6 linked regions of the Rattus norvegicus genome follow. The protein of the gene in region 2 interacts with the protein of the main gene of each other region in a pairwise test. Links are inferred from orthologs where the notes say so. Each region holds a gene or a part of one and is shown on either strand. Other genes may lie near its edges. The genes, in order: Entrep1, Wwp2, Ankrd44, Hnrnpul1, Arrdc1 and Pdlim7.

Region 1 (3,500 bases), on a different chromosome or scaffold from region 2:
AGAGGCAGAGGAGTGCTGAGTCCCTTGCCCAGGGCATCACTATCCCCAGCTCTCCTTGCCTGTCTGCTCTCTGACATTCCCAACCCATCAGCTCTCTTTGGAAGGCACTGGATTTCCAAGGATGAAAAGGTCAGGACAGTGAGCTCTCATCTCAGATGCTAAACTACCACAAAAACCTCTTCTAGAAGGAAACCCTGAAATTAAAGATGGCATTTTACACAACACGATCACAAAATGAATGATTCCTGTGGTGTCATTATGCCATTAGGATGTCCACTGATGCTGCATTTTGATGGACACCACCTTGGGTAAGCCCCTTGTTATCATGCATCACTTAGGCAAATAAGAGCTTATGGAGACCATGGTGGTTTGACTAGGAACGCCTGCCTGCTGTAGGCTTGTATGTCTGAATGCTTAGTTATCAGGAGTGGAACTACTTGGGAGGGATTAGGAGGTGTTACCTTGTTGGAGTGGGTGTGTCACTAGGGGTGGGCTTTAAGGTTTCAAGGCCCAGTAGCTCTCTCTCTTCCTGACACTTGGCAGATTCAGATGTAGAACTCTCAGCTACTTCTCCAGGGCCTGTCTACCTGTCACCATGTCTCCCACCACGATGACAGTGTACTGAACTATAAGCCAGCCTCGATTAAATGCTTTCCTTTATAAGAGTTGCCATGGTCATGGTGTCTCTTTGCATCAATAGAACTCTGACTAAGACAGAAATGAACAGGATTGTTATTTGTCTGCAAGTTATTTTCTCTGGGATCCTTTATGACTTGGCCCTGGTAATGGAGAAGTATCCGCTTGGGAGGTTTAAAGCCCAGAGACAGCCCACAGAGAGCATGTGCTTTACTAACAACCCTCTTCAGCATCCGCCACCCTCCTCTCAGCTTCTGAAAGGATCCGAATCACTCCATCCTTACCCCTGAGGCTCTACAATGTCAGCAGGCCCCTCCCCAAACAAAGAAAAGCCTTGCTGTCCCAAGATAATGTGTTCACCTGGCTGACACCCCCTCCCTTGGCTTTATAGCCATGTCTGCCTCTGCCCGGGTAGGTGTTACAGGAGGGGTCAGGTAAGATTCAAAAAAACATGAGCAAAGCCTACGTGGATCCTATTTCAAAAGCATGCATAGCTGTCCCGAACACCAGAAAGTATTTTTCCAAGAGCCCCACATCTGTACCACATCTGTCTGATGATTCTGCATGTACTACAGAAGTCCAAAACTACACATGCTCGATCCCAGATATCAAGCTAAAGATGCTAATCTTCCCTTAGACCCCAGAGATTTTTTCCTTTGGGGGTTTAACCTTTAAACTCAGCATAAAGTCACTTCTCTAAGGATGCCAAAGCTGACTGGGTGACCTAGTTGGCTCTTCTGGGCTTGGGAGACCTCTGGACATTGAGTACTATGGTCCTAACACTCATGTTGGCGGTCTACACTGAGCTCCTGATTGGAACAGAGGAAGCAGGACTAACTCACTTTGGATTTCTGTAACCCAGCACAGCACCAAGCAAGCAGAAGAAGATTGGTAATGTTTGCTGGAGGAATAAATGAGATCACTCTTTAAAGATTCAATTCTAGGTATTACTAACAACCGGATGAATACATACTCCACCCTACAAACAATAATTTCTGAAACTTAAGGAAAATAGTCAAAATTCGAGCTGGAATTTGAAAAGGAAAATTAAGTACGGTGCCCATTTTCCCCCCTAAGCCAGAAAGAATCAATTAGTAATTAATTTTGTCTTGGTGACTGCAAAGAATGTCTCGACTGTTGGGACCTGCTCATGGCGTTATAATGAAACACTGATTCTGCCTAACTGTGGGTGTTTCCAGGACAACAGAAACTCCCAATACTGTCAAATTACAGCTGTTATCTCACTGGGTGTCAGTTTTCCCCGAGGAAGCTAAAAGAAATTGAAAAGGTTTATCTCTAGGTCCGGGTTGGACTGATCTTTGGAGTCATCTGGTTGATCAGAGAGAAACAAGAAGACAGGGAAAGAGAGCTAACTGGATAGGACAATCTTCCCGGAATTTGGAGGAAAAAAAAAGTGGAGACCACACAAGTGTCAAGGCAGGGCATACCATGGAGACCCCAGTGAGACTTAGGAGTTTTACCTGCGGTTCATCCGAGGTGTGCAGGAGTAAAACGTGGCAAAGTAAGAAGGAGGAGGCACTGGCGGCACAAAGTCATCTGGGTCCGGAATCCGCCCGGGCTCTTCCACTTCCTCTGCAGAGATCTGGGATTCGTCCTGATTAAACAGCACAGCAGGAGGAAAGCAATAGATCACAAGGGAGGCACGGACAGCAAGGTGGAAACTCCGCACAGTGCTTCCACACACAGTAGGGATGGACTGCGAGGTCAAAACGCTTCACAAGTGTTTCCTCACACTTACAATGCACGGCCTTCTGCTGGCGAAGATCTGGAGGTAGCGCAGGGCAGCAGCCACCAAACACACCGTGGTGGTCAGGGCATTCAAGGCACACAGGGCAAACAGGACTTTCTGGAAACGAGACCACTGATCAGAGAGATGTGTAAAACACATCGATGGCAATGCTGTCCAAACTGGCAAGCTTCCGAGTGGATAAGGGCAGGGGGTTACATAGCGTCTGGCTTATGGACGTGCGGAAATACATGCTGGCTATTATAACCCCCAACCAGAATGTAGATTTCTTACTCTAAAACCTTTATAATTCCAGCTACTTTGAAGACTGAGGCGGGAGGATCATAAATTCAAACCTGGGATGGTAATACAGTCAAACTTCCTAAACAAAAACAAAAACAGCCTAGACTAGATGTCATGTGACACACCTATAACCCTAGCACCCTGAGGGCTGGAGGCGGGAGCACCTGAGTTCCATCAGAGCCAAACTCAGATTCAAAAAACACATACCCAGCCAGCTCCCTGCCTCACAGAGGAGAGGCCCAGTGTTACATACAGGGCAGTCAGACCTCCATATCCACGGGTTCACCTTCTCAGAGTCAACCAAGCCAAAATGGAAAACACTCAAAAGAAAAACCCAAGACTGCTGAGCACGGGCTGGTCCTTTTCCTATCATTTTTCTTTCTTAAATGATATTAACAACTACTTGCAAAGTGCATTGCACCAGGTACTGCATCTACATTGGCTCAACCATAGAGGAGTGTGTGAAGGTTTTGTGCAATCCTATGTCGTCATGTGGAAGGGGCTTGGGTGTGACAGAGTTCAGTATCCTCAGGGATGCTAGAGCCAATTTCCCAAGGACACAGAGGCACTTTCTTCTTACAACATCTGAACACTATCTATAGAGTTCCCTCCAGAAGACCAGTGAGACTCTTCTCTAGTCAGTGCCCCCTCAAGGGACAGCACTTCCCCGCACGATGGCATCTGCTTAACATATGGCCACTGCTTCTGTTTCGGGAGCCACAGGCAGTAGTGTGGAACCAGGAGCAACCAGGGAATAAATAGGTCTTCTTTCCTCAAAATAGCAGTTAAGTCAACACTGAAGGTTGCCATGGAC
Region 2 (3,500 bases):
AGTCCTGTATCCTACAGCCCTGGACCAAGCATGCTGAACTCTGCCTTCCTCAAGCTCCATAGATGGTCTCTAAGGGGCAGAGCAACACTCAACCTCTGGTCTGGTTGCCATATCTTCCCTGACTAGAGATGAATCATACATACTTTTGCCGCCATTGTTCTTCAGGACATTGGAGAGGTTGACAGAGGCAGTGCCCAGTAGTTCATTCCTCAAGGTATGACAGCTCCAGACCTTCAAATCTAAATGACTCTGGGCTGTAACATTCCTGGAAAACAAATAAGTGATTCATCACAGCCCCGAGATGAGCCAGGCGCCCTTTAACATGAACAGAATGCTAAAAGCTACCCTGCTGACATCTCACAGGGACAAAACAGGACACAGTCACACACACACCTCACACGCTGACCTGTAACCCTAGCTAACAATGAGAGCTCTGTGAGCTCGATGACACACACACACACCTAAAGAGGAGCACCATGGGGGCCAAGGGCAGTGGAGGGCACTGCCCCAGCCTCCTCTCCCCCACCTCCTGCATTCGAAAAGTGGCAGACACCCTTACAGAACGATGACTTCATTCCAGAGAAGCTCAGAGCTCCCGATGCGCTTCCCAGTCTTCTTGGTCTCACTGGGGAGTCCATCCACTGCCACCTCCACATAGGAGTTGATTCTGGGCTGGCGGTTGTGCACCTTGGGCTTTGCTGACACCACTGGATGAGACAGAAGGAAAGGGCAGATGACTTAAAGGACTCCCATATGCTGCTTGGGCAGATAGTCTGGCTCCTTTTGGTTATTTCCTTTCAAAAGATCTTTTTTGTTGCTGTTTTGCTTTGTCCTCTTTAAAAAAAAAAAAAAAAAAAAAAACCTTTTGAGAAATTACACTGTGAGAGCTCTGTCAGAACAATGTTCGCTGTAAACACTAGACAACCTCATTTTCATCCCCAGAGCCCACATAAAAGGCCAGTGCCTGAGTAATAACACCCAAGATAGACCACTGACCAAAGCATCATGTGCACACAAACACACATGTACAAAACCAATTTTTTAGAACAAGAAGAAAGGGTATAGACCAAACAAGAAACAAAAAGTACGAGTGTACAAAACACCCTGAACTATAAAGCAAGATCACTCCCACCCTAAAAGCACATGAGACAGAAAAGTGCTTTGCCCAATGGCCTGTACCCGTCTCCACAAATCAACTTTTAAACGATTATCACAAAGTCCACTGCATGGCTGTGTTAACTTTTACATTGTTGAGACAACTGCTTACAGTTCTTTGCTCTGGGACAGTTAGCACAAACATGGCTCCTAAGAGCAGCTGAGCCTCCTTTAAGGTTTGAGAGCTCCAGGGTCCTGGAAGCCCTCAGGGACTTCCTGCACTGCTTCTGAGTATCTTCATTTGGCCACACTGCAAAGTAGAGTGCTGTTTCCTCACTTTTTGCAAGCCATTAAAAAAAAATAGCCTAAAGATAATCACTAAGATTCAACCAACAGTTACCACAGACACTGCAAGGCATGCACCATATGCAGCCCCACAACTCATGAAGTGGAGATGTACTGTCTCCCTGACTGTACCCAGGAGGTCACTGAGGCTAGGATGGGGACATATACCTGCAATCCCAGCAGCTGAGGAAGAACACGAGTGCTGCAAGTTCAAAGATGGCCTGGTCTACATGAGGCGTTCCAGGCCAGACAGAGAAACTCTTAAAACTCAAAACAAAAAAGCCAGACAAAGTCACTCATGCCGGTAATCCCACTGACTCGAGAGGTCGAGACAGGAGGCTCACCTTAATTTCAAAAGTCCACCCTGGGCTACAGAGTGAGTTTTAGGTCTGCCTGGGACAGGAGTATGGGGTGTTGGGGGGGAGGAGTGAGGTTCACCTCTCCAGTTATATAAAGAGGGAGCTGTGAACCAGCATGTGTCCCCCAGCCTGACTCCATCCCAGCTGTATACTATTCCCAGGCTTATCCCCTCTGCTGCTTTTCTCCATGGAGCAGTAAGGCTGAACATACTCCACGGTGGTCAGCTACCTGTACTACTTGTTCCGTTTACAGCCCTCATGTGACTCTGTCTCTCTGTCTCTCTGTCTCTCTCTCTTCCTCTCTTTCCCTCGCTCCCTCTCTCCTTTCACTCTCCTTTTTGTTTAGTTTGGTTTCTTTCCTAGTTCTAAGCAGCAGCATCTTGCCGTGCAGCACAGGCTGACTTGAACCTACTACTCAGCCAAAACCGGCTTCTGTGTCCCTGGTACTGAGATTACAGGCAGATAGCACCATTCCTAGCATACAGCAGCACTTGTCATAGTCATGCATCACTAACTGGTAAGAACCCATGGAGCATAAGCCAACAAACATCACCTTCCATGGGATACCTATCCCATGACATTCATGACAAACAGTGGGACTTCCAGGGCTATTAGAGGGAACACATCTAGATACTGTCCACCCTGTGCCCAAATCAGAGGATAGAACTGATGTTTCTCATACACACCACCCCCGATAACAAGACTAACCACCCCATCTGGGAAGTTAGGCTCCTTCCCAGATCCTTTAGGGAGGTGGCAAGTCCTACAAAGGTCTACAACTTGACAAAGGACATCACCCGCTGGGTTCTTTGAAGCAGTAGTTACTCCAAAACCCAAATGCTACAGTAGGGAAGAAATCAAGAAACAAAAGAAAAAAATTGGGGGGCTAAGAGTCAAGCAACAGGGATGGGGCTGAGAATAAAGGTTTGTCACAGACATTAGACTTAAGTGGAAAATGTACCACTTTGCATGTACAGCAAGGCTAGCTGACGCCATCTAGTGATGAGATAGGAGCACTGCACACCTTACCTTAAACAGGACCATGTTTTAATCCGCCCTAAACAATTTCCTTAGAAATCAACAAGTCCCTGCCAGGCCTGGCAGCATACACCTTTAGTTTTGGAACGCAGGAGACAGAGCACTGTGGATTTCTGTGAGTTCAAAGTCAGTCTGGTCTACACAGTGAGTTTCTGGCTAGCTCAGCAGGACTACATAGTGAGACCCTGTCTCAAAAAAGGGGTCTGGAGAGATGGCTCAGTGGTTATGAGCACTTATCGCTCTTGTGGGAGACCTGAATCCAACACCCACAAAGCAGCTCACAAGCATCTGGAGTTCCAGTTTCAGGGACTGATGCTCTTCCAGTCTCCACAGGTACCATGCATGCATGTAGCAAACATATGTGTAATAAGCATACACATATGCAGGAACACACGCATACCTAAAAAATCTAGGGGAGAAATTGAAATTCCAAGTCTGTATTTCACAGCTGGGTCATCTAAGTTTCAGGGAGCTGAATTAGCTTCTCTGAAATCAGCGTCAGTAAACGGCAGGTCTGAGGCAGGAACCAGCACTCACTCCCCCCAGTCAATTCTCTCAGCGCTATCAGGACAGGCCTTTCATTTTGTTCTGATTTGGGTTTAGTTTGGGTGTCTGTACTCTAGCTTTTTCCCTGGTTTGGTTTGGTTTGGTTGGTTTGTTGGT
Region 3 (4,081 bases), on a different chromosome or scaffold from region 2:
TATCTGAGTGTCCTTTGAGAGTAGGCACCTGTCTTACTTAGGGTTTCTATTGTGACAAAAACGTGACCAAAAAACAACTTGAGCAAGAGTTGTTTGTTTGTTTTTTCTGCCTCCACTTCCACAGCACAGTTCATCCCTAAAGGAAACCAGGGCAGGAACTCAAGGCAGGAACCTGGAAGCAGGCACTGAAGCACATGCCAGGGGGATGTGCTACTTACCCGCTTGGTGCTCATGGCCTGCTCAGCCTGCTCTATTACAGGGTGACACAGCTCACAGTGAGCTGAGCCCACCCACATTAATCCTTAATTAAGAAAATGCCCCCTCAGCTTGCCCACAGGTCAATCTGGTGGGAGCGTTTAAAAAAAAAAAAACAAAAAACAAAAAAACAACTAAGGTTCCCTCTTCTCATGACTGTAGCCTGTTTCAAGCAGCGGTAAAAGCTAACCAGCACAGTATCTTACCCGCTTATGCCCCATCTCTCCATGCCCAGCCACTGCCTGAATTTATAAGTGCTTTCCCAGATCACAGAAATATCAGCACTTACTATGGGTTGCTACCGCTGTATTAGAAGCCTGGTCTGTTAGACAGCTGTCTTCTGTGTGTGGAAGGTGCGAGTGGGCAGCATGCAATTTACAATCGTGTAGGAATAAACCAGCTAGGACTTATTTAGTGCGGTAATTTAGGACTTTTTTTTTTTTTTTCCTTCTCAGTTCCATCTCCAACCCCAAGCCTAGGCTACCAAGTTAGGATAGTGTGTGGTTTAACTAGGAGGTGGATCAAAGCCCTGGTTCCTTCCACTGCTATGTGGTGGAAGCCCTGGAGTCACGACGCGTCCAAGGCCTCCTTATATTAAACAAAGAGATTGTCAGCCCTGCGCCCAGGTGGCAGAAATTCGGAGCTCTGGAGCAATCTGATTTGGGAAGAGGTTTAGGGAAAGGGGGTGTGACGCAGTCTGCAAGGTGAAAGTTGGCGGCGTGTGAGTGGCAAGCTTTCTGGACCCCTGGGGTGTGTCTGCGAGGGCTTGCCGGTCAGTGGCGTGCGCGCGGGTGGGATTGCTGGGGAGAGTCGGCGTCAGCCCCCCCTCCCCTTTCGGCTGGCTCCTGGCGGAGCGGGGTGCAGGTGCGGGAGGGCGCCGGGGCCGCGGGCTGCGAGGAGCCGCCGCGGGCGGCAGGAGGCAGCGTCGGCCCGGGCGGCGCGAGGCAGCGCGCGGTGATGTCAGTGGCGGCCCGGCTGGCAGCGGCCGGCACTTCCTGTATAAAGGCGGGCGGGCCGGGCTGCGACTCCCGCGAGCCGGGGCTGGGCTCTGGGAGGCAGGCGGCAGCGGCCGAGCGGTGGCAGGGCTGTCACCTTCGCGAGCCCAGCTCCTGGCGCTTCCCCGGGCCGTCCCTTCCGTTTCTCCGGGCTCCCGGCGTTGACATCTACGAAGCGGAGAGCTGTATGTGCGCGCGCGCGGGAACGGAAGAATGGCAGTGCTCAAACTCTGCGATCAGGTAGGGGCGCGGGGCGCGGAGAAGGGGGCGCGGCGGGCGCCGAGCGAGCGGTGCGCGCCCCGGGCTGTTTACGCGCAGCCTTTGAGCGTGCACGGCCTGCCTCGGGGCTTGGCTCCCGCGCAGTCTCCGCCCTGGACCGTCGCAAGTGCGCGTTCGCGGCCGGAGAGGGTCGGCGGGGTGCGGGAGTGGCCGCCGGGCGCGGGTCGCCGCCGCACCGGGAAAGGGGAGACTCGGGCTGTGTCGTGCACTCAGGAGCAGTCAGCTTGGGGGTCCTCGGGGGAAGGCTCCCTGAGGTCAGGGGGAGGAAGGTGGACGGCGGGAGAGAGGATCGCAGCCCCTCTGCCCCGGACCTCTCCCGCGCCAGGCTAGAGGCTGGCCGATCCCCGCTCCGGTGCAAAAGCCTGCCTTCATCGGTTGGATAGAACACCCCGACTTCCTCTTTAGTTGCCCAGGGGCTGGGTGTGGGGTGTGGGATTGGGGGTGCTGAGAGACGCGCGTTCTCGGCCCAGGTCTCCGAGTAGGAGATGGGAGTCAGGTCCCGGACTGAGCTCGTAGACGCTGGTGCCCATGAGCTTTGTTGCTTTTCTGACTGAGACATCACACCGGGCAGCCTGGAGTTTGGCTTGAAGGAATGGGATTATGTATTGAATCTGATTGACAGTCTTTACCACATATCTAGATATTGACACTCACGGAAGTTCAACTTAATTGTGTGAAACAAAACCAAACCAAACCTCTTCACAGCTCTTTACAAGGGGGAAAGACGAAGCTTTATTCATGTCCCGATTTATTCATCCACACTGACATGAACATTGTTTTGGGGGCCTGATAAGCAGCGTGGCGATCTTGACTTTGATATATGGTATCAAACAGTCCAGCCCCCTCTATCAAACACCTCAAACTTCTTAATAGGATGCATCTGGTGTCTTGCTAGTTAGAATTCAGCCAGAATGTTTTGCAACTTAAGTGCAACCTTTGCAATAGTGAGCCACAATGGTTTGTTTTGCCCCTTTAGATTAAATTTAGTTCAGCTTGCTTTTACCTTAAGTATTCACAGCCCCCCTTTCTTCCCTTCCCTGCCTTGGTTCAGAAATCACTGAGTTTAAAACTCTGTTAAATTTAGCAGGGAGAGCAGCTGTTAATTGTGTGACCCTGCCCCTCCTCGTTGGCCACTGAGCATTTAAAATGCTTGTAAATTGATATTAGGATTTTCTCTACCCTTTGTTCCCAATTTTTGCCAACTGTTAGACATCTGCTTATTTTAAGTCTTACGTTGTCTTGTGTCCAGAGTCCTGTCAACGTTGATGGTACACATTTCTCTACTTTGTTAATTCCTAAGTCTGCAGAGTACAGTGTGGTTCTAGTAGGCATTGCTATGTTATTACATATGAAAGAATTCTGTGTAGAATTTTACTTAGAAAGATGCTAATCATTTACCCTGAATTCCTTATTTTCTAAGTAAAAAAAATCAGCTGACTGGGAAAATCAAGCAAATCTTCCTCAAGATCCTCAGTGTTGACTGGTGGTGTCCACCTCCCAGGCCGCTATCGGAGCCTTGAGATATGTCTCTCCTTCCTTTCAGCAGATGTGTTAAAGTAGGGTATGAGAAGGAGCTTTCTCCTCAGGTACATCAGCCTGGGTGAGGAGTGTACCACTGGGCTCTGCAGCCCAGGAAATTATTCTCTGGCTTCTCAGAGCAAGGCTTTTTCAAAGATGTTTGTCGTTGGGAATCTTTCTAAGTTACACCCACTTTGTTCCCCCAGTAAACTCCACTTGCCCCTGGGGAGAAAGGGGTTAAAACCTTCATTTGACTCCATCTCCTGACATATAGAAAGAGCCAAGGAGTTCTGTGATCCAGGAACACCCAAAAACCACCAGTCTATCCTGGGACAAAGCCAGAGGAAGATGGGGTGTGGTGGTGGTAGGGCGGGGTGAGGTGCAGTGGTGAGCAGAGATGGTTTCTGTGTTTCTTTAGGCCCAGGAAGTGTACTCTTCTTGCCTTATATAGTCTTACTTTGTGTTTGAATCTTACTTCTTAGAAGTTGGCTCTTAACCTCAGGTACTCATGCTAACAACCTGTGGATTAAACTCCTCCTAGAAGAGCTTTGTCCCATCACTGTGGGCGGGGAGCCACCTGCATGGAATTGCCTGCTTCAGTCTGAGCTGGGGCCACCTGCTCCTTCCTCAGGGATGCTGTGGCCATCCCGGCCTCACTCTTCTGGTCCCTTCAATGTCCATTTTGTAAGGCGAATCTCCACTTTTGGCTACAGCTCTTTGATTTTTGGTTTGAGGACACATTCCGGCTGCTGATAACTTGGATGTAGTCGAAGCGAGAGGTTATCATCAATGACTTTTTCTGTCCCCTGACACTGAAGGCTGGAACTGGCTGGGTGGCTGTGGTTATATCACTTTGGCAGCCAGTTCAACAGTGACCTCTGGGTCCAGCAAGAGAAGGGTTACGATTTTTTTTTTCTAACTTGTTTTGGGAGAATTAAAAAGTTAAGGGGGAAGGGAGAGGCTGCTGTGGTTTTCAGTCTTCTACTGTGAAAAGGAACTGGGAGCTTGTGCTGCGAACAAGCTTGACACTTAGC
Region 4 (3,500 bases), on a different chromosome or scaffold from region 2:
TGTTTGCTGGTACAGAGAGAGTAATAGCAAAGGACATAGTCGCTATTTTTGCCACTTGCCGGGGTTACTCGGACGACTTTATGGCCCTGATGTGGACCCGCTTCCCCACAAGAATTCTCATGGACTATATATGTAATATTCCTACATTAACTTCTGGTTGTAATTGGGTGTGAGCATATGCATGTGTACATTAGTTCCTTTCCACTTTCTTTTTTTTAAGACGGGTTTCACTGCGGAGTCTAGGTTGGCCTCAAACTAAGAGATTCCCCTGCCTCCGTTTCCCAACTACTAGAATTAAAAGCATATGCCAACATACTGGCAGTCCACCTTACTTTTCTGAGACAGTCAGTCTCCCATTGAACCTAGAGCTCATCACTGGCAAAGCTAGCTGGTCAGCAAGCTCTAGAGGTCTTGCTGTCTCCTCCTTGGCTCCTATAGGTTACCAGGGCCTGCCATCGCACCTGCTGCCCACCTGGGGCCTGGCTCTGCAAACTTGGGTCCTCAAGCTTCGTAGATAGCACTTTACTTGCTAACTCATCAGCTCTGTATTTTCAAATGCTGATGACTAGCTAACCCTAGGATTTACTCTAAGAAGTTGAAGTTGACGGTATATTGGCTTTTATCCTGTGTCAGCTAGATCGTTTCCACTTTGTTTAAAGATTTCGAAGGAGTTTTTTTTGCTTTTAGCTTATTAAAAGTTTATTTTTTAAGATTTATTTGTCTTTTATGTATATAATGTATATAAGTCATCTCATGTGAATGAATATGTGGACTTAACGTCCCCTGGAGGCCAGAAGAGAATCACCTGGAACTGGAGTCACAAGAGTTTGTAAGGTGCTGTGTGGTTACTGGGAACTGAACCTGTGTTCTGCAAGAAAAGCAAGTCCTCATAACCACTGAGTCATCTTTCTGGGCCCAGATTTATTTTATTTCATGTTTATGTGTGGTGTTTGGCCTTCATGTGTGTACATCCTGTGCATACATGTAGTACCTATGGAGGCCAGAACAGGACGTTGGATCCTCTGGAACTGGAGTTTGCAGCTAACATGGAAGTAAAGGGAATTGAACGCAGGTCAGTGTAGGTCACCCAGGTCCTCTTTTCTTTCTTTTCCTCTTTTTCTTCTTCTTCTTGAGACAGGGTCTCCCTACATAGACCTGGGTAGCCTAGAGCTAATATGTACACCGGTATGCCTCGGATTCACAGAGATCTATCAGCCTCTGCCTTGATTTCAAACTCGCTTTGTAGCTGAAGATGACCTTGATTTCCTGATCCTCTCCCTCTCGAGTACTGGGGTTGCAGGTGTGAGCCACTATACCAGCAGGGAGCTCTGTTGAAAAGGTCACACACACTCGTGGTTGTGAACATGTGCTTTCCTGTGCATCCTTCTCTCCTTAACATTCATACTTAAACCTGTAGTCAAACTTGTTGAACAAAATCTAGCTCTGGTTTAAAGAAAGATTCCACATACGGTTCCTTTTTGTCAGAGCTTGTCATTACTTTAAAGCGGGTTCACAGCAGGGGTTTGAGGGGTATAAAGATCAGTATCTGGGGAAACAGAACATATTTGTAAGATCTCAAGTCCTCAACTGACGAAGAGAAAGGACCGAGTGGCAAGCAGGTGGTCCATGTCAACACTAAGAAGTAGAGTCACTGCAGCCTAGAGGACAGCAGAGAGGGCTGCCCAAAGTCCTGCCTCAGACAGATGGCTGTGTGGGTACACTGATTAGCAGTGGGTGCTGCTTTCTTTATATTGGGGTGGTTCTTCTAATAAAGCTGGTGCCCAGGGCAGGTGACCCCCAAAGTAGTCATTTCCATGCCAGAACAATGGTGCTACTTGTCCCCGTGTGGGAAGACAACAGCAGATACTGTACTATGTGCAGAAGTCTGCTGGAGTTATGTTGGCCTGTCTGCTGAGCATGGTCATTACCGTGATGTGTAAGGTGGCAACTGGCATGAAGGATGCTGATAGAAGACTGGGGAGCACCTCAGAAAAGGCACCTCAAGCACTCCTTGCATACATATACATATATATATTTTTTTCCCCTCATTCTATAACTTTGTGTCAGAAACTAGAACTTGTGCTCTGTTGAAGCTGCTGCCTCATCCTGAGTTTTGAAGCTTTGGCAGGCTCTGCTCCTGACTTGACAAGTCAGTGTTCTGCTTCATTGCCAGCAATGGTTCTAAACTTTAGCAGAACTTGGAGAGCCTTTTATACCCTAAGGTGAAGCCATGGCTCCTCCCCCATCATGCCAGCCCCAGCCCCAGCCCCAGCCCTCTACATTTTGGTTTTTTGAGACAGGTTTTCTTTGTGTAGCCCTGACTATCCTGGAACTATCTGTAGACCAGGCTGGCCTCAAACTCACAGAGATCCTCCTACCTCTGCCTCCCAAATGCTGAGATTACAGGTGTGCAACACTACCATCTGGCCATAGAGAAACAAGATCAATTAATTAGCTTTAGGTCATAAAATAGGATCCACTATAACTGGAGAAACTCAGTAAACAAATGAATGAGCCCTTGCGAGCATGTCCGAGATGCCTTTTGTGTGTCAAGGCACCTGACCTGTATTCTCTTATCTCAAGGTTTGTGTGTGCGCATGACTCATTTCCATTCATTGGTCAGGACCTAACTTACACATTCCCTCCAGGAAATGCAGGGGTATTTTTACTGAATTACAGTATTGAGATTCCTTGTTTGATTCTCCATTGACCATGAATCCCATGGGATCCACATAGACATGTACTGGGATGCACTCGTGTGAGCACTCTAGGAATGTGTGTAGAATAAACAAGGGGCGCACTTGTTCCCACCCTCTGGGAGCACTGCACTCAGCTATGGGAAGCTCCTGCTCTGGCTTCTCTATCTCGGTGTCTCCTCCCTGTCAGTTTGGGGACCAGGCGAGTCTGCCTGTGTCTTCATTGCGAGTCTGCCTGTGTCTTCATCTTTGTCTCAGCTTAAGCACAAGACTCAGATATGTGTCACCAGCTTTCAGATCTTGAGTAAGAAAGAATTTGGGTAAAATGTCTCTGAGCTTTTCCTGGTGCTGTCTAACTTGTGTGTATACCAAGAGAGAATGCCCTGGGTTCCAGAAAAAATGACCATTTTACTCCCTGAATTAAGTCTCACACGTGTGGCTCTTGTTGCCTTTGATTAAGGTTACAGTTAGTGTTTCTTAAGGTTTCATGTATCCTGACCTGGTCTGAAGTTTATGTTCCTCTGCCTCAGCCTTCCAGATACTGAGATGATGGGTGTCCACCATGACAGCAGCTCACCCTTGGCTTTCTCTCCTAGGACTTCGAATGTGGGAATGATGTGGAGCTTTCTTTTACCAAGAATGGCAAGTGGATGGGCATTGCCTTCCGAATCCAGAAAGAAGCTTTAGGGGGTCAGGCCCTCTACCCTCACGTCCTGGTGAAGAATTGTGCTGTGGAATTTAACTTTGGGCAGAGAGCAGAGCCCTACTGTTCTATTCTCCCAGGGTTCACATTCATCCAGCACC
Region 5 (2,279 bases), on a different chromosome or scaffold from region 2:
CTGTTGTCTTTTATTCTTATTCTGGGGCCCAAGATCTTGTGTGTACAACAACGAGAAATAAGGAAAGGCACAGTGCTCAGGGCTGACAGTGACCCCATGCCCAAGAGTAGAGGGTTCTACCAAGGGGCTTCCTGGAACAATAGTTTGGAATGCAAGTCACAGTATGTCCCAAAGAATGCCAGGAATATCCTTAGGCATTCTTTAAAAAGGAAGAGGACAGAAGTGGGCAGTCCAGCACTATCCAGGTTGCATGCCTGGCACTGTAGAAGAGTCCAGAGGCAGGGCACCAATGAAGTGAGGAATGGGCTGGAAGTAGAGTTCAAGGTAGGATCGGGTGGGCCAGGGGAAAAGCCCAAGGATGTGGTAAGGGGATGAGCTCTATCAAATGTAGGGATCGAATGAGGAGCTTTCAGGGTTTCAGTCTTCAGGGCAGAGCTTGTACAATGGGGCCACCTTAAGGCTAGACTGTAGGGTGAGAAGGCCAGCCACTTGCCCAGCTCTACAAATAAAGCGCTTTATTTATACAGTCTCTCCAGGCCCCAGATCTCTGCCGCCCTACCCCAACCTCTCAAGAAGAGGACTGAATAATTCATTCCAGAGGAGCCAAGAGTGGCTGGTCCACAGGGGGGTCTTCCCCCGACAGCTGCAGGTCCTGAGTAGCTGGGCCAGGTAGAGAGCAAAGGCACGAGGCCCTGGGCATCCCATGCCAGGGCAAAGGCCAGAACCACCAAACAAGGTGGCATGGGTTAGCATACCAGGGTCAGCTCCCTGGGATCAGGCCAACATCTGTACCACCAGCACCACAGCTCTGCTCATAGGATGGTGGAGCCTCTGTGGGGAGGAAAAAAAGGATATAGAAGGGGTTCAGGGGACCCTCATTTTTTCACCCCAATCCCTGTCATTTCCACTCACCATAGGGGTAGCCCCATGAACTGTACTCTGGAGGAAGGATCAAGGCGCTGGTGGTAGGTACTGGGCCCCCAGAGCCTTCTGCAAAGTAGGGGACAGTGGCACCTATAGAGATGCACAAGGGAGGGTGCAGAGAATGTCTAGCAGGACTTCCAACCTGAACACACGGCTCAATGGTGGTGACAGACACAGAACCCAATGTAGTAGACAGTGGCTGCTGCTGAGAATGGCTCTTGGTGGAGAGTGAGACAGGGTCTGAGAAGTGAGGGCCACTAGCCACTGCCTCAGCCTCTTCCTGAGGAGGTGCAGAGGGCACCACTGGGGACAGCAGCCCAGGAGAAGACCCTGGGCCTGGACAGGGGCTCAGTGGAGTTTGGTTCACAGCAATATTGCCAACAAATAGTGGGAGAGTCACGGTGGCCTCGGGTGCTTTCATGGAGACCTGAAAAAAACGTAGGTATTGAAGAGTAAGGCCAAGGCCACCTAGCCTTAGGCCACCCAGCCCTGGGCAACACCAAACCTGAAGGTAATAGTCGATGTGGATAAGGCTGCAGCCAGGCAGGGCTGACTGGGGCAGGGCAGGCACCAGGATCTGTTCTTGCCACTGAGCATGCCTCCAGGCCTTGACACCTGTGCCCTCCACCTCTGCAATGGTCCGCACATCATAGATCCAGCGCTTGGCCTTATAGGACACCTTCTGAGGAAAGACTGGGCTGTGAGTTTGGGCAGGCTGGCACCCACCCCTTCTGTCCCATGGGAAAGGGACAGGCTCAGGGAACCAGATGGCTCTGACCTGTAGCAAGCTGGCCACCACAGGGCTGGTGTCCTTGCCCGACTGGTTCTCAATGTCAGCCTGCAGCCGCAGCACCTGTCCTACCACATAGCCACGAAGGTCCGTGCTAGCTGTGAGAACCACACTGCCGGTCTTCACCAGCTTATAGGAGAACTTCTTGGTAGTAGAGGCCACATTGGGTTGCTTGAAGGGAAAGGAAGGGAAGAGTTTATCAAGCGAGCACAGACAAGACCCTCAGACTGCCCTAGACACCAGCAACCAGATTAAGACAGGGCCTGGCTGCCTGGCCTGAGAAGGCCGAAGGCAGCCAAGGAAGCCCCTGTTCCGTCCTTACCTCGATATCTGGGATGCTGTTCAGGTTCAAGGGGCTCAGGATGTAGAACACGAGGCTGCATTTGTGATCCTTGGAAAAACGTGGAGTGTCGATGGACGCCCTCACCTGGTGCACAATCTTCCCAAAGGGGCCCTCGAAAGATGTGGGTGCTGTGGCTGTGGGGATAATAGGGATTGGCTGGCACCCAGCACCTCCCACCAGTGGCATTTCAAAGCTCCATGTCCCCATAAGCTTTCCACTCAC
Region 6 (3,500 bases), on a different chromosome or scaffold from region 2:
GGCCAGGCTAGGACTGCACGTTGAGCACGTGGGCAGAGCGCTGGTGGTGCCAGTCCCGGAGACGTGTATAGCGTGGGCTCTGTAGCTCCAGGACATACTTTTCCCTGAGGGGCAGAGAGAGAGAGAGAGGAGGAGGAAGTGAAAGGAAGGAGAGACGGAAGGGAGGAAGGAGGGAAGGAAATGAGGAAGGGACAGAAGAGAGCTCTGGCAGGGGATGGCCAGGAGTAGACAAGGACTGGTGGCCGGAAAGGAAGAATCGGGAGGTTAGGGAAAGCGCCCAAGCTTTTACCTTGACTTCTTCATGAATTCCTCATCCGGGTCTTGCACTGAGAGGACAGAGGCAGGCATTGACCAAGAGAAATGAAGGCTACCCCAGCCTTGAGTCCTGGCAAGGTCAGGCCCAGGCTAAGACCAGGAGAGTCCGCCCAGACCCAGGCCAGCACTTACTGAACTCTGTGCCCGTGAGGTGAGCAAGGATGCGGAAGGAACGGGACTGGCCTGTCCCTGGCCGCGGGCGCCAGTCTTCAGTATTCTCCATCAGCCGCTGCTTGCTGGCATCAGGGACCAGCTGTCTGAGCAGCTGTCTATGGAAGGGTAGAGCTCAGAACCCCTGGTTCTGTGGGCACCAGGGGCTGCCCCTCCCAGGATGTGATGTGCATGGGTTACGGTGACAGCTGAGAGGCGGGGTGGGGGTGGGGGAAGAAGGGGGGTAAGGCAAAGGGCTTGGCTGGGTGGGTGGGTAAATCAGAGTGGGCAGGAGGACAGGCAGGGCAGGGAGGCGCCACCACCCAGAGTGCCAAAAGGGAGAAAAGTGACAGGAAGAGGGGGCTCACTGACTTGTCAGGGGTCTGCACCTGCGAAGGAAATAGACAGATAGACAAATAAAGGGACAGACACAGGAGAAGAAAGACGGGTGGGGGGAAATCAGAGCAGTGGACAGGGAGGCAAGGTAGCAATGAGTGTGTGAGACTTGGCAGGTCCAACACCACACCCCAACCCCAGGCTGCCCAGGAGGGCAGAGCCTGTGGAAGAGCATCAGCCTTGGGCAGGGCTCTCTTCCTGAAGCCCCACCCAGCTGCCAGGGATTGCTGCCACACGGTTAAGGGGCTGGGGTCCGGCACAGACTGAGCAGTAGCGGGCAGCTTGTGTGTGCGCTTGCGAAAGGACTAGACCTGTGCACAAGAGGCAGGAGTGAGTGGGCAGGGGCTGACATACCCATTCTGCGACAGGGCGCTGTCAGTAGGTGGGGGTGCCCCGAAGGGCCGGGCCGTCTTGTTGAGGGAGGCGCTTGGTGCAAAAGTGTACCTCGGGGGGTCGGCGGGAGGGGTCAGGGCCTGGGCAGAGACAGAGCCGGGCAGGGTGGGTGGGAGTGGGGGCCAAGGTGGGAGCGGAGTTGTCACCACCACCAAGAACAGTGACAGGTCCGGCCCCACTCTTACACATCTGGCCAGAGGCTAAGATGAAGGGGTGACTGTGAATTCAAGGGGCCCATTTGGAAGTGATGAATTCAACCCACTCTGGGTCAGGGGGACCGAGGGCGGGTAGGCGCACACAGCACAGGCTTATGGGAAGAAGCAGGCAGACAGACAGGCAGGCACGTGAGGAGCCCGGACCGTGCGGCAGCTCCTAGCTCCACTCTCCCGTTCCCCAGACCCTGCCTGTTCTGGCATCTGCCCTCTGTTCTTAGCCAAGGCTGGGCCACGGAGAGCAGGCCAGCCCAATCCAAGTCCCTCCCTTTCTCAGCCAGGGTATCTCTGGTATAACCTACCTTCTGTGGTTTGCTCTGAGCAGGCTGGGCTCTGGAGAAGGAGAGAAAAGTGGTCATGGCCTGTAAGTGAGACCAGAGGCTGTGCTCACCCCTTGGGCCTATCAGCACCTGTACCTGCTAAGACCCAGGCTGAGGCGCTCCCCACAGGCACGGATCTTGTTCTGGGCTTCAATGTGTGTGAGGCTTCCGGCGTTCTCACCGTCGATACTCAGTACCCAGTCTCCCACGGCCACACCGGCCTGTGCGGCCTTGCCTCCAGGAGTGAGCTGTGGAAAGGAATGGTCAGAGGCCCAGGGGTGCACACCCAAGCTGCACAAGCTCCCTCACGGTCCAGACACTGCTGATAAACAGCCACCTTCAGGCTAGAGCCCATACCTGCAGGCTAGGACCACAGCCTTGACAGCTGTGTTTTCTGAGGTCTCTCTAGAGGCTGTTTGACCCACCAGATTGCCCTCCCCAGACAGCCACCTACCTGTGTTGCTGAAACTGGGCTATGAAGGCCTAACAGGGTTGATTGGGGTCACCTATATCCTGTGAAGTGTCCCATCTCCTATCTGGGAACTGCTACCGCTCCCCACCCCCACATCAAGGCCAACCCCTGATCCCCACCCCACACCCTTTCGCTCGCAGGGCTCCACATTCCTTTATTTTTATCTTAATTTTTTACTTTTGGTGACCAAGGCTCACTGCTTACCAGCAATCAGCCAGTTCTGGTGGCCGTCATTCCACCAGGCCTACTATGTTCCCCTATTTGCCACACGAACCAGAAATTCCCAACTCAAAGCCAAAAGGATTGGGGGCATGGTGGTTCTCCACAGGTCTGAAACCGCAGGGCCACTGGACCATCTGGTACCACGCAGAGCATTTACACTTAGCAGGTAGTAGGAGAAGCAGGGCGTAGGACGCCCAAGGGCCCAGGAGGCTCCTCGGGTGAGCTAATCAATGTGTACTGAAGCAGACAGACAGAAGACGAGAGGTTCTAGAGGTGCCAGGGACAGAGGGACCTCCCGCAGAGACTGCCAACTCTAGGACAGAAGGGGGAGCTGGACTCGACAGCTTTATTTTGTGCCTGAAGGGGAGGTTAGCAGAGGAGAGAGCTGGTGAGTCAGAGCCCTCTTTACCTGCTAGCACACGGTAAGAATAGCAACTCACAGAACACCTAGGACTGACGTAACATCTTCCAACACACTTGCAGGGGATCTAGGGATACACCCTGCTCACGCTCAGAAAAAAAAAAAACCAAAAACCAGACCTGCCAAACACCTGAACCCAGTCACCCAGCCAGCAAGAGGTGCAGCCAGGATTTGGTCCTGACTGGGAGGCTCCACTACAATAGGGCACAAGAGAGGGGTCAAGCGCACCCAATCACGATGCTGGGATAGCTAGCTGTGGTGGCATACACCCAGCACTGCGGAGGCAGAAGCAGAGGCAGGTGGATTTCTGTGAGTTGGAAGCCAGCCTGGTCTGCATAGTGAATTCCAGAACAGCCAAGACTACACAGAGAGACCCTGCCTCAAAAACTAATAAAACTAGTTAATTAAATCAAATTCGGGGGAAGAAAAAAAAAAAGACTCTGGGGTGCCAGGCAAGGTATACTTGTAATGCCAACACTGGCAGGCTAGGCAGAAGGACTGACAGCTCAAGGGTAGACAGTGTCCGAAAAGACACCCCCTCATTCCATGGCTAAGTTTGGGGTCTGCATGCACCCTCTCACCTTTATTTCACTGCGACC

What was found.
Region 1: the proteins of Wwp2 (region 2) and Entrep1 interact in binary tests that used the Homo sapiens proteins (3 or more experiments, as listed by UniProt). The link is inferred for Rattus norvegicus from reciprocal best matches to the Homo sapiens genes WWP2 and ENTREP1.
Region 3: the proteins of Wwp2 (region 2) and Ankrd44 interact in binary tests that used the Homo sapiens proteins (3 or more experiments, as listed by UniProt). The two-hybrid records come from large-scale screens. The link is inferred for Rattus norvegicus from reciprocal best matches to the Homo sapiens genes WWP2 and ANKRD44.
Region 4: the proteins of Wwp2 (region 2) and Hnrnpul1 interact in binary tests that used the Homo sapiens proteins (3 or more experiments, as listed by UniProt). The link is inferred for Rattus norvegicus from reciprocal best matches to the Homo sapiens genes WWP2 and HNRNPUL1.
Region 5: the proteins of Wwp2 (region 2) and Arrdc1 interact in binary tests that used the Homo sapiens proteins (3 or more experiments, as listed by UniProt). The link is inferred for Rattus norvegicus from reciprocal best matches to the Homo sapiens genes WWP2 and ARRDC1.
Region 6: the proteins of Wwp2 (region 2) and Pdlim7 interact in binary tests that used the Homo sapiens proteins (3 or more experiments, as listed by UniProt). The link is inferred for Rattus norvegicus from reciprocal best matches to the Homo sapiens genes WWP2 and PDLIM7.

What each region holds. Positions count from the first base shown.
Region 1 is NC_086019.1:231,027,811-231,031,310, forward strand, and holds part of Entrep1 (endosomal transmembrane epsin interactor 1), read right to left. Parts: intron 2,504-3,500; coding exon 2,396-2,503; intron 2,252-2,395; coding exon 2,118-2,251; intron 1-2,117. UniProt on the Homo sapiens protein: Functions as an activator of the E3 ubiquitin protein ligase ITCH in the ubiquitination of the CXCL12-activated CXCR4 receptor. Thereby, triggers CXCR4 endocytosis and desensitization, negatively regulating the CXCL12/CXCR4 signaling pathway.
Region 2 is NC_086037.1:52,273,563-52,277,062, reverse strand, and holds part of Wwp2 (NEDD4-like E3 ubiquitin-protein ligase WWP2), read right to left. Parts: intron 708-3,500; coding exon 560-707; intron 266-559; coding exon 144-265; intron 1-143. UniProt on the Homo sapiens protein: E3 ubiquitin-protein ligase which accepts ubiquitin from an E2 ubiquitin-conjugating enzyme in the form of a thioester and then directly transfers the ubiquitin to targeted substrates.
Region 3 is NC_086027.1:63,919,141-63,923,221, reverse strand, and holds the start of Ankrd44 (serine/threonine-protein phosphatase 6 regulatory ankyrin repeat subunit B), read left to right. Parts: upstream 1-1,281; 5' UTR 1,282-1,463; coding exon 1,464-1,490; intron 1,491-4,081. UniProt on the Homo sapiens protein: Putative regulatory subunit of protein phosphatase 6 (PP6) that may be involved in the recognition of phosphoprotein substrates.
Region 4 is NC_086019.1:90,369,871-90,373,370, reverse strand, and holds part of Hnrnpul1 (heterogeneous nuclear ribonucleoprotein U-like protein 1), read left to right. Parts: intron 1-3,292; coding exon 3,293-3,500.
Region 5 is NC_086021.1:28,132,690-28,134,968, forward strand, and holds the end of Arrdc1 (arrestin domain-containing protein 1), read right to left. Parts: intron 2,192-2,279; coding exon 2,037-2,191; intron 1,886-2,036; coding exon 1,703-1,885; intron 1,607-1,702; coding exon 1,430-1,606; coding exon of another isoform or gene 1,352-1,429; coding exon 913-1,351; intron 832-912; coding exon 761-831; 3' UTR 501-760; downstream 1-500. UniProt on the Homo sapiens protein: Functions as an adapter recruiting ubiquitin-protein ligases to their specific substrates. Through an ubiquitination-dependent mechanism plays for instance a role in the incorporation of SLC11A2 into extracellular vesicles.
Region 6 is NC_086035.1:9,132,808-9,136,307, reverse strand, and holds part of Pdlim7 (PDZ and LIM domain protein 7), read right to left. Parts: intron 2,035-3,500; coding exon 1,883-2,034; intron 1,800-1,882; coding exon 1,769-1,799; intron 1,335-1,768; coding exon 1,216-1,334; intron 855-1,215; coding exon of another isoform or gene 834-854; intron 585-833; coding exon 448-584; intron 327-447; coding exon 290-326; intron 105-289; coding exon of another isoform or gene 8-104; exon of another isoform or gene 1-7. UniProt on the Homo sapiens protein: May function as a scaffold on which the coordinated assembly of proteins can occur. May play a role as an adapter that, via its PDZ domain, localizes LIM-binding proteins to actin filaments of both skeletal muscle and nonmuscle tissues.